Oryctolagus cuniculus: one gene and its partners. Each later gene encodes a partner of the first gene's protein in a complex. Links are inferred from orthologs where the notes say so. Each region holds a gene or a part of one and is shown on either strand. Other genes may lie near its edges.

What was found.
Region 2: KANSL1 (region 1) and KANSL3 share a complex: the UniProt entries of both Homo sapiens proteins name them as parts of the NSL complex. The link is inferred for Oryctolagus cuniculus from reciprocal best matches to the Homo sapiens genes KANSL1 and KANSL3.
Region 3: KANSL1 (region 1) and KANSL2 share a complex: the UniProt entries of both Homo sapiens proteins name them as parts of the NSL complex. The link is inferred for Oryctolagus cuniculus from reciprocal best matches to the Homo sapiens genes KANSL1 and KANSL2.

The regions. Positions count from the first base shown.
Region 1 is NC_091448.1:17,042,306-17,046,050, reverse strand, and holds the start of KANSL1 (KAT8 regulatory NSL complex subunit 1), read right to left. Parts: upstream 2,737-3,745; 5' UTR 2,641-2,736; intron 1,087-2,640; 5' UTR 950-1,086; intron 1-949. UniProt on the Homo sapiens protein: Non-catalytic component of the NSL histone acetyltransferase complex, a multiprotein complex that mediates histone H4 acetylation at 'Lys-5'- and 'Lys-8' (H4K5ac and H4K8ac) at transcription start sites and promotes transcription initiation.
Region 2 is NC_091433.1:111,115,617-111,119,261, reverse strand, and holds part of KANSL3 (KAT8 regulatory NSL complex subunit 3), read right to left. Parts: intron 2,420-3,645; coding exon 2,246-2,419; intron 1,827-2,245; coding exon 1,742-1,826; intron 1,388-1,741; coding exon 1,257-1,387; intron 390-1,256; coding exon 280-389; intron 1-279. UniProt on the Homo sapiens protein: Non-catalytic component of the NSL histone acetyltransferase complex, a multiprotein complex that mediates histone H4 acetylation at 'Lys-5'- and 'Lys-8' (H4K5ac and H4K8ac) at transcription start sites and promotes transcription initiation.
Region 3 is NC_091442.1:52,177,228-52,180,972, reverse strand, and holds the start of KANSL2 (KAT8 regulatory NSL complex subunit 2), read left to right. Parts: upstream 1-1,496; 5' UTR 1,497-1,690; coding exon 1,691-1,874; intron 1,875-2,018; coding exon 2,019-2,277; intron 2,278-3,028; coding exon 3,029-3,207; intron 3,208-3,614; coding exon 3,615-3,729; intron 3,730-3,745. UniProt on the Homo sapiens protein: Non-catalytic component of the NSL histone acetyltransferase complex, a multiprotein complex that mediates histone H4 acetylation at 'Lys-5'- and 'Lys-8' (H4K5ac and H4K8ac) at transcription start sites and promotes transcription initiation.

The DNA of each region.
Region 1 (3,745 bases):
ATGGGCGCCGGTTCTAGTCCCAGCTGCTCCTCTTCCGATCCAGCTCTCTGCTATGGTCTGGAAAAGCAGTACAAGATAGCCCAGGTCCTTGGGCCCCTGCACCCATGTGGGAGACCCGGAAAAAGCTCCTGGCTCCTGGCTCCTGGCTTCGGATAGGTGCAGCTCCGGCCGTTGCAGTCATCTGGGGAGTGAACCAGCAGATGGAAGACCTCTCTCTCTCTCTGCCTCTCCTCTCTCTGTGTAACTCTGACCTTCAAATAAATAAATAAATCTTAAAAAAAAAAAAAAAAGAGAGAGAGAGAGAACCAACACATCAATGAGAGCTTCTTCATTTAAAGGACATCTGTCCACTCTGCCCAAATAAGGTTTATCCTGTGAGATGAAACTTGGCCCAAGTGCCACCTGTTGAGAAACAAAGTAAAATCTCACGCAAAAGAGTAGGAGAAGCAGGAGGACTCTCCAAAGAGCTGCACACCCAAGCCAGTAGCTCTTAGAATGTTCTAATACTCCATATGAAGTTTCAGAGTAAACAGTTAATGACACATCTTTTGTAACACATGAATCAGCTACTGATTTGCAAGAGCAGGACACACCCTAGCACCCATGACTTTAAAGCACCTATTTGAAAGTGGACCTGAAGGTGGAACCCATCCCACTAGGACTAGAGCAGAATTTTACAACTACATAAGTTGTCACAATTTGAAGTTAAAAAGATGAACACATCATTATAATGGGAGATAATCCGAGACCTTCATTAATACTTTAACACCAGTAATTACAAACAGTAGCAACGCAAGGTAAGGAGTAACCAATCACTCCTGCAAAGCAATCTTCAAAGGGAGCAGTGACAGGTAAAGGGACTGAAGAACAGCAACTTCAAAAACCAGGATATTCTCCACTCTTCACAACACTAACGAAATGAGGCTGATGAGAGAAACACACATCTTACCTTAAGAGGCACCCGAATCGCATTCATAGTGTCAGAAGAGTTCAGACAAGATTCAGAAATGAGCAAACAGGGAGTCAGTGATCCCCTCAGTCACCAGGTAGGAGCAGGCAGAAAAACTTCCTGTTTTGAGAAGTTACCTAAAGGAGAGAGCTCTCAGTTAGACTAAAAAATAATACGGAATATGCAAGTAGTTTAAGCTACTTTTATATATATATATATATATATATATACACACACACATATATTTTTTTTGTTTGTTTCATTCATCCCAAAACACAGTACTCTTTGGAAAAGGGCAGATACTTGCATGTAAACATACTTTACCTGAAAAGACAAAGGTATGACATTTTAGAAAATATATAATTGCTTCTCAAAGAATCAGAAAACCAAAATCCAAGAAAGGGGAAAAAAATTTTAAGAGTACTTCATACACATTATGGAAAGGTGATTTGTTAACCACCTAAAAAAGGATCCTTACCATATTTAATTTTATATAGTAAATTAAAACTCCTCTTGATGATTCTGACCTAAAATTCTGAGCTTAAATTAAGTTTCAGAGCTGATTCTACATAATAAATAAAATCTATTGACCAAAGTACTACAAACAAATAAGGCACTTCTTCCCAGGAGATCTTTAAAGGAAACCCTTACAACTTCATTCTAGGATGAGAGGTGGCAAATCTGCCTGGAGACAGGAGGATGGACTAAATGACCTCTTGTAGGATCCTACAGTTCAAGTCCTAGGCCTGAATGAAATTCCAGCTTAACCAGTTACTGCTTCGCTTAAAATGGAGGCTTGCCCGAGTAGGGACAAAAATAACAGCACTCACCTCTTAAAAAAAAAAAATAAGGAAAAATCAAAGACTAAAGTATCCTCATTTCAAAAATAAAAACAAAAAGGCAAACCCTCCGGAGCGGGTCTGTTCCGGCTATGCCTCTGCACTTCGGCTTCGAGGACTTGGCATCACTCTCCGCCCCGCTCACCGGATCTGGGGGTGCCGGTGGGGGCGGGGTGCGAGGAGTTCGACTCTGGACCCAAGTCTCGGGCGGGGTCCGGACCCCTCTGCGAACCCCCCTCCCGGGCGGCGGGAGAGGAGAAAGGGGAGAGCCCGAGTTCTCACCCCTCCCCCACCGCGGACCCCAGTCCCGAACCTACCCTCCGCACCTTCCCGCAGCCGGGCGACCCCTCCGGCCTGACCCCCATTGTTGGGGAGGGGCGGATGGGCGAGGGGGCTCCGGGCAGGGGCGCCCGCGGCCGTGGCCCCGGCTCGCTCCGGGAGGGGGCGGCCCGCGGGATGCAGCTTCCCTTCCTCTCCGCGTCGGTCCGTCCCACCTCGGCTCGGCCTGGCGCCCTGGGCTCCCTCGCTGCCCCCGGCCCGGCCCACCCCCCGGGCCGCCAGGCCCTCCGGCAGCTCGGCCAGCAGCCCGCGGTCCAGGCCTACCGGTGGGCGCGGGGTGGGGGTCCCTGTGCCCCACACACGAGTCCCCGCTCCCCCAGCCCAGCCGATTCCAGGGCCCTCGGCGGAGCCCGTTCCGCGGGCCCCTCGACCCTTCGCCTCCCGGCCGGGCCGCCCCCTCAAAGCCCCCGGGTCGTAGCCGCCTTCCCTCCCCCACCATCACCCCTACCCACTCGTGCCCCCCACCCCCCGGGGCACCAGTGCCAACGGCAGCTCCCCCAGCCCCGGACCTACCTGCACGGCTCAACCAAGCCTAGAGTGGGGGCGGGGAATCTTCCGCCCTCCTCTGTCTCTCATTGGGCCTTCCGGGGCTCCTCGTGGGCGCCATTGGTCGAGAGAGGGTGTCCATCAGAGCGATGGGGCGGGACAGAGAGGGGAGAGGGATGCTGGTGCTTCGGCGTCTCTGTCTCTGTGTTATCTCGCTGTCTCTGTCTCTGTCAGGGCCCTTGGAAACGAGAGGCTTTTGGACAGGAGCTCTGGAAAGGGGCCCTGAGGTGGGAGGACTGGGAATCGGGAATCCCAGCGGTGCTTCTCACCAGTAGGCCACTCTGAACCCCCTGAGTCCCCTTGAGGTTCTCCTCTCCATCACCCCCAGCCCCTGCCCCTCACCCCTCTGGGTTCTTCATCCAGGAAGCGACGTGATGAAAACTCGAGGCCGGAAGGCCATAGGGAGAGATTTTATATATGAATCTCGAATTCGCACATATAAATGTTTATATGTAAAGCCAGTCACGTATACGGCTCCAAGGGCCTGGAGAGGGACACATCTTTTACAAACAGGGGAGGACTTCAGATAAAACCGATGGAAGAAGGGATCAAAAATCACTCCAGGCTGGCCACGGTGGTTACTTCCCGGAGGGCAGCTCCAGTGAGCAGGTGGGAGAAAGGCTTCCAGCTCACTGTATGGCCTTTGTATCCTTTGCTACTTTTAAAATCATTCATGAACATCCTAATTCTGAAAAAAAAATTTTTAATTGATTTAAATTTTTAGATAATCTGAGGTTGAGGTTGCAAAACCTGGAAATGGGGACAGCGTACAGATTTGGGGAGGAACCTTGGGTTTCAATATGTTCCATTCCAAATACCAGGGGTTAAGTGAGTGAAGGTGTCCCAGAGACAACTAAAGTTACAAACTTTGAGAGAGCATGGGCAATCTGGCTTAGAAAAGATTTAGAGCTCTCTGCTCACCACATGATAATGCCCAGAGTCTCCCCCACACATGTAAAAAGACACCACAGTTAAAGTCAGGAGGGTGAGAACGAAGGTGAAATAAGAGAAACAAAATATTGATGACACATGAAAGTTAAGGGAAGAAGCGTTTCTGGGAAAACAGAAATAA
Region 2 (3,645 bases), on another chromosome or scaffold:
TTTGCATATATTACCTTAGTAAATGCTCACAATTCTATCAGGGAAATACTATTATCACCTTACTTTACAGACAAGGAAACAAAGAGAGGTCAAGAAACTTGCCCAAGGTCACACAGTAAGTGATGGACCTTATCCTTTGACGGCTCCCTAGCTGTGCAGTTAAGAAGGCTGTTTGCCATGGACCCAATGACTCCAGACCCAGTCTCCCAGCAAAAATCAGCTAAGCTGAGGAGGCCGCCTCCCTACACCTGCCCAGCCCAGTGGAAGGCAGATGTGCACCTGTGGAGCTGGCCCTGGGGAAGGATTTGCAGGGAGACCAGATGTCTTGCTGCTGATATCCTGCAAGCTGAAGCTGAGGCCTTGGAGGAGGCTGCTGGCTGATGTGGCCCCTAGGAGAGGATATAACAAGCTCAATCACTAGCATGTATCCCAAGAGCAGCCATGCTTGTTCATCCTTACCAACTAAAACCCCAATGCTCCTACACACTCGCCTGCTCAGATACCAAGAAGGTCTCCTAGGCACACACACACACTGGTTGCCCTATGAGGAAAGGCACTATGCCAGATACTGCCTTGGGATTGACTCTGCACATCCCAACCTGCTCCAAAGCACCCAGACTACATTTTAGACAGTGTTAGGAAAACCAAAGAGAGCCCAAATCACACTTTTCAAAAACCTAAATTCTCACCTAATTTCTAGGGAAGAGGAAGGACTTTTTAAACGAGAAGAATTCCAATATCTGCTTTCTACTTCACCTTACACACAGTCCAGTGGCCTCAAAGCCAAGAGGAAGGGCCTCTTGCAGAAGGGTATCATCTGTGATGCCAGGCCCAGCTGGGCTCAGGCAATGAGCCTTTCAATGGGGCGTGCTGGGGTGGTGGTGTAGAAAGCAAGACACAAGCACAGGAAGGACAAGGTCTTGCTTTGCTGTCAGTACATCACCATTCTAGTTTTCTTCAGTCAGATGTATTTAAAACACCAAATGGAACACAGCACATACATTCCCCACCAGCTACTGCTTCCCCTCCTTAGAGTACAATATAGAGACCCTGCAGACTGGGGGCATCCACTCACTGCAGTCATCAAGGCCAATGAATCCCCAGCTCAAGCTAATTCCAGATCCAGGTCAGCCTCTATGCTGTCTTGAGGCCCAGAGTTGCATCGTCCAGCTCCAGGGATGTTTGCCCAGGACTATCCCCCAGCAGCAGACTAAAAGAATTTGCTGGGAGAGGGGAGATGCTGGGTTACAAGATACCTGGGAGGGAGCTGCCTGGAGAAGTGGCCACCAAACGGCTCTGGAGTGTGTGCAAGGTGCTGGGTGTGGTACTGTTGGAGACCACCGAAGGGGCTGGGCCGGCTGTGACTCCACCTTCAGAAGCACTGGACCTGAAGACAAAGAAAGGAGCTCCCTCATCCAAAGGCCAGGGGGCCACAGATCCTAGCAACACAGGGAAGGTCCACAGTGGGGCCTGACAAAGCTTTAACTAGATCCAAGCTTTGTCCCACCTCCTGAACCCAGCCTCTAGTCGTCCTCAAAGTCAGGCCTAGAGTAAAGACTTTAGGACGAGAGCCAAGAGAACTCAGAGCTGATCCAAAAGAAAGACAAAAACCACAAAAAGAAAGAAGGTACATTTCCACAAATGACACAATCCAGGAGCTATCATCTTTCCACAGTACCATATAATACAGAGGAGTGAAGCTAAGAAGGGAACAGAGACAGCAACCGAGAAACAAACTCACCTGGTTGTGGTGAGGAGTCCGGTGAGCTCCTTGGTCCCTGCTGAAGACTGCCCCAGTGTCATGGTGATGGGTTTCCCTCCTGAAGCTGCAAAGCAGAAAGCCCTGAGACACTACTCAGACCTATTTGGCCCCTACATTTCCAGGTTCCACAGCCCAGGCTAAATACAAGATATTGTGGACAAAGACTTGAAGATGAAAAAAGAGTAACTTTGTTAGAGGAAGAATTAGGGTAACTTCTCCTATTTTCTAACTTTTTTGGAATATTTTATCTCTATTCAAAACAAATATACATATTTACATGCCATGCTCAGAACGACCCCTCGGCACCCTCGGTCCCTGGAAGTCAATGCCCCCTTGCCATTAATGTGCCATTTTTGCTCCAGGTCTCTCTCACACTGAAGCAGAGGCTGAGCTGCCTGCTCCAAGAAGAGCCACCAGGAAGCAACACTTTGTGTCCTGGGAGAGCCAGGTCCACTCGGGTTTAAACAGGCTCGAGAAACTCACCTTCAGCACCTCCTCCTTGGGAAGGAGTGTCCCCTTGGGAAATAAGGGACACCTTGATCTTTGGTCGCTTGGAGGCCTTACTGCCAGGCAGAGGACTGGAGGGGTGGTGTCGCTTCAGCTGGACTCGGAGATCTTCTTTTTCTGCCTCCTCTGTTGGTTCTGATGAAATAGGAACTAAGAGATGGAGCTCAGGTGAGATTCTGCACAGTCCAAGAAAGCCTGGTGGACACTGTTTGTCAAGGTCAGTACGGGAACACACAGGAAGATCAACCCACCCTTAGGCCACATTTCACAAGAGACGACCCGCGTTTCAGTCCACTTCAATGAGGTCTGCCTGAGCTGAAGCCCACCTTGCCCTTCTCAAAGAATGGCCCCATCCCCATCTCTCACTCTGCCTTTGAAGAAAGGAAGGGAAGAGGCCCAGAGTTGGTAGGAACAAGACAGAAGACATCTGTCTAGCAAAAGCCACAGCAAGAATAAAAATGGAGGACTCACTAAAGTATATCTACACAGTGTGATCACTCTCCTGTCCCAAGCCATCCCCCATGTCATCACTCAGCCAGGAGACAATAAACATTCCATGAAGAACCCACAGAGGAGCACCCAGTCCTTTCTAACAGGGAGTTTTCACAAGACTGTGAGGAGTCCCATTCTGTCCTTAGAGCCCGGGCTGAGGGGTGCTTGCCAAAGGGGGCAAGGAGGACAACCTCCAGGACTTCAGGCTGGGGGAGGGAGGCTCAAAGCCCTGGCAGCCTCACAGCTCCTAAAGGTGGTCCTGGGTCATCTGTACAAGTACAGAGAAAGGCTATCTGTTCACACATCATAATGCCCACAGCCCAGCTTCTTGGACTTGCAAGTTATCCTTCAGGAGTCCTCACAAATGTCCTTGGCTTTCAACCCAGAAGTCGCCCAGCCCTTTTTCGCACAGGCAGCCAGGGGTGGAGGTGGGGAGAAAGGCAGCCACACAAGCATGAGGGGGATCCAGGCATGGGGCCATGACCAGGGCACAGGCAGCTACTGTGGAATGGCACTGTGGAGAGGACAAATGTACTCGCTGAATCAGAGCAGAAAGGAACGGGGAGGGCGAAGGAGCCGCAGGTTTCTTCTGCTGAGTGGTTAGTGTGCCTGCAGCTGGCAGGGTGGAAGCATGGAAACAAGCAGGGAGCGAGCACACAGGGAAACTCAGGCTCTCAGGCAATGGGCCACAGGCACACAAAGGTGAAGGAGCTACAGTGAAGGCAAACAAGGAAAACACACAGAAGCAAACAGAGAGAATGGAGATACAAGACAAAGCATCTGTAGACGGGGAAAAGCTCAGAGAAGCAAACAGGAGGAAATCAAACAGATGAGAGAGGCAGATGAGAAGCAGAGACAGGACAGAATCAAGAGGGGTGGGAATA
Region 3 (3,745 bases), on another chromosome or scaffold:
GGGTTGAGTTATAAGGGGGTATGTAACAAACATCTTTGAACCCGTTCTGAGGTGTGGAGTGTTTGTTCTGTATATAGATCATTACCGCTATTGATACTTGTATTCAGAATCCTAAGCTGTTCTAGAATGTTCAAGAGTGCAGGATTAAAAAAAGTTTTGTTGTTTTCCCTGTATCCCTAGTGCCTGGCACTTAGGTGCTCAATACAATCTTTGTTGTGTGAATTTCAGGAAAAGGCCACCTTCTAGGACTGCCTTGCTCTCTGGAAACAGCACCATCCAATTTCACCACAACTCCTCAATTTGGTTTTAATCATTCCTTGTCTCGAAACTGATTTTTTTTTTTTTTTAAAAAAAAGGATGTATTTTAAAGAGTTGAGGGGAGAGAAAGTGCGAGTGTGCTTCCACCTGCTGGTTTGCTCCCCAAATGGCCATAATGACCAGGGCTGAGCCAGCCTTAAACCAGGAACCTGAGCTCCATCTGGGTCTCCCATGTGGGTGGCAGGGACCCATGCACTTGGGCCATCTACTCCTGCCTTCCCGGGGTGCATTGGCAGGGAGCTGGACCAGCGCCAAATGGGATGCTGTGCCACAGCATTGGCCTCCAGTATTGGGTCATTTCTACAAGAGTTATGGAGATACATGTGATGTTTTTAATAAAAATCCTTAAAGGTTGATGTAGGGCCGCCACAAAACACACCAAACACCAGAGTTAAGGGAAAGGGTTTATTGATGGGGGAAGTCTGATACGGTGGAGAGAGAGAGAGATCAGGAGACTGGGTGAGGAAGAAAGATCTGGAGAGAGCGAGCATGTGTGCGGGAAGCAGGTGTTGTGTCATTTCTATAACACCTGAATTACTTAACATGTGCCTGTGGAAGGTGTGTAGGCTATCAGGGCACAGTTTAGGAGAAGCAAGGCTTAACCCCAAACTCCTGTTTCCTTATTCTCGGTCCAGTGCTCCACACCACCATGTGAGAGGCAGTAAAACGCAGGATAGCTGGGTTCAGATAGCCCATTGTGCTCCTGGGTCCTCTGCTCCTTAGGGCTGCTTTGGAAAATGAATTTATACTTGAATTTCCTCAGGTTCATCGTGTACGTGTACTGAACTCATAAAAGAAAGCTAGTTCTGTCATATATAAATACTAAGAGTCCTTCTGTCCGATTTTACACCCGCCGTGTAAGGAAGCTGAGGGAGCGGCAGCCTAAGACCACAAGCACAGGGGCCGGCCCATGTCTTAAAGAAAATCCACAGTCGCGGCCAGCGGACGCTGCAGCCAGCCGCAGGGCAACTCTCCTGGGGCGGTGCTGCTGACGGACAGTTCATCTCAGCCATCTGAAGCGCGCGTTTTCTCAGCGCTCCGCCCCCTCCAGGCTTGATAGGTAGTGAGCCTCGGCCAATGGCGACACGGCTACAGCGGAGCAGTAGCCAATCAACGGTTGGGAGCCAGGAAAGGAGCCGGGCCGAGGTAGGAGCGGCTGGCGCGGCCAGAGAAGGGTGAGCTCCTCCGGAGAGTGCGGCAGTGGAGGTAAGATGGCGGCGCTGTTGGGTCTTCGTGCCCGTCGGAGGGCTGCTGCAGACCCCCTTCTGTGGGCCCAGACATGGTGCCCCGTCTGTATCAGCGTCTGTACCCTTCCCCTTTCTTGTAGGCTCCCAGGAGCCTGGTTCTCCGGTGCCCAGGGTCTTAGGACAAAATGGCGCTTGTATGGGCGCTGGGGCCGGGCGGGAGCTGTGAGGCGGGCCTGGACAAAGGCGGTGCGCAGGGGAGGCGGGGCGGGCGCGAACCTGCGGAGCTCGCCTCGTGCTGCCGCCGTGCGAGCCGTGGACAGGCGTTCAGCGCGGTGCGGGCCGGGCTTGGAGGGAGAACTCGGCGGGGAGGTAAGTGTGCAAGTGCCCGGGAGGCCCGAGGGAGGGCGGCGAGGCGGAGTGACTGCACGTGGTCCGTCCGGATGTAGGGGGGCGGCGGCGGCAGGAGTTTTCAGGAGCGCTGAGGGCTCTTGGATCTTGTGCGTGACCCTACAGGTTTTGGTATGAATAGGATTCGGATTCACGTCTTGCCAACCAGTCGGGGTAGGATCACCCCGGTGCCCAGGTCTCAGGAGCCCCTGTCTTGCTCGTTCACTCATCGTCCGTGCTCTCAGCCTCGTCTGGAAGGGCAGGAATTTTGCATTAAGCACATCCTTGAAGACAAGAATGCGCCCTTCAAGCAGTGCAGTTACATCTCGACCAAGAATGGGAAAAGATGTCCCAATGCTGCCCCGAAACCAGAGAAGAAGGATGGGTATGCAGACTTGTGCCTCTTAGGGAATGTGCTGGGATGTTGGCTTCTGCATAGCTGTGGAGTTTTCGGTCACGCCCTTGTGAAACCGGGCTTATGCATATATCCTTGGAAAATTACTAAAATCGTGAAAACCGGAAACACACTGGAATCACTTAGTTCAATTTGGATCTTTCAGTCTATTGAAATTACTTTCAATCTATCTTGAAAATGAAGGGAGTCTTTCCCCTTTTCTTGAAAATGAAGGGATGCTGAAAATTACTGTTACTTTGGGGTGTATGGCTCTTTGGTGTGTCTGTGAACTTTGTTAAATAATATGCCGAATTGTGTGTGTGTGTGTGTATAATCTGGAAGAGGCTTCATGACTTCAGAGGCGTCCCTGCAAAAATATAACTGGGGTTGTTCATTTGTATATATTCTCTAATTTAAAACTGTGTGTTACATCTTATTAACCTGCAGTGGATTGGCATTAAAATGTGCCTTCCGGAACCAGTATTGAAAGATGAAAAGTGAATCTCTTTGATTTGTTTCTAGATGATGTCAACATTTTTATAGTTGGAATGTTTTGTTTGCTGGTTGGAATGCTGGGTTATGTTATCTGCATTTTCCTTTAATACAATTAAGTTGATCTCGGGCCAGTTAAATTCCTCTGACTCATTGGCTTTTTGAAGTGAATAAAATAGTCCTTTGAATTGCTTAAAAATGCTTTGAGGATCAAGGACTATGGTGAAATACTGGTATTTTGTCTCCTTAGGGTGTCCTTCTGTGCGGAACATGCCCGCAGGAATGCCCTGGCGCTTCATGCTCAGATGAAGAAGACCAACCCAGGGCCTGTGGGTGAAACACTCCTGTGCCAGCTGAGCTCATATGCCAAGTCGGAGCTGGGCTCCCAGACTCCAGAAAGTAGCCGCAGTGAAGCCAGCCGCATCCTGGGTAAGGGCCTTTCCCTGTAGTGGAAAAGGGAAGGTAGTGCCTTGAATGTGCTGGCAGTATTGTTAATTTATTGGGAATCTGGTGAGAATTCCAGGATTGCTATGTTCACCAACTCTTTCAAATCTGAAATAGTGTTGCTTTTGGTTTGTTTTCCTGAGCTGGTGACTCTTCCTTCATTGCTGTTTTTATGCTCAGCACTTTGCTAGGTTATTTCAGGAAAGAATAATAATTTTTTAAGTTGACTTTTTTGGACCTCTTGAGTTGTAAATAATCTTATCAGCACTCTATACTTGTGTTTTTATTTGCCAGTGCCTGTGTATTGAGTTGATATGTTAAGTAACCTAGTTTTGTGTGGTGGAGTTACAGAGGTGGGAAGTCTTATGGCTGCTCTCCCTCCCTTGCCTCAGATGAAGACAGCTGGAGTGATGGGGAGCAGGAACCCATTACTGTGGATCAGACATGGAGAGGTGACCCTGACAGTGAAGCTGATAGCATAGACAGTGATCAAGAAGATCCCCTAAAGTAAGTTGTAACTCCA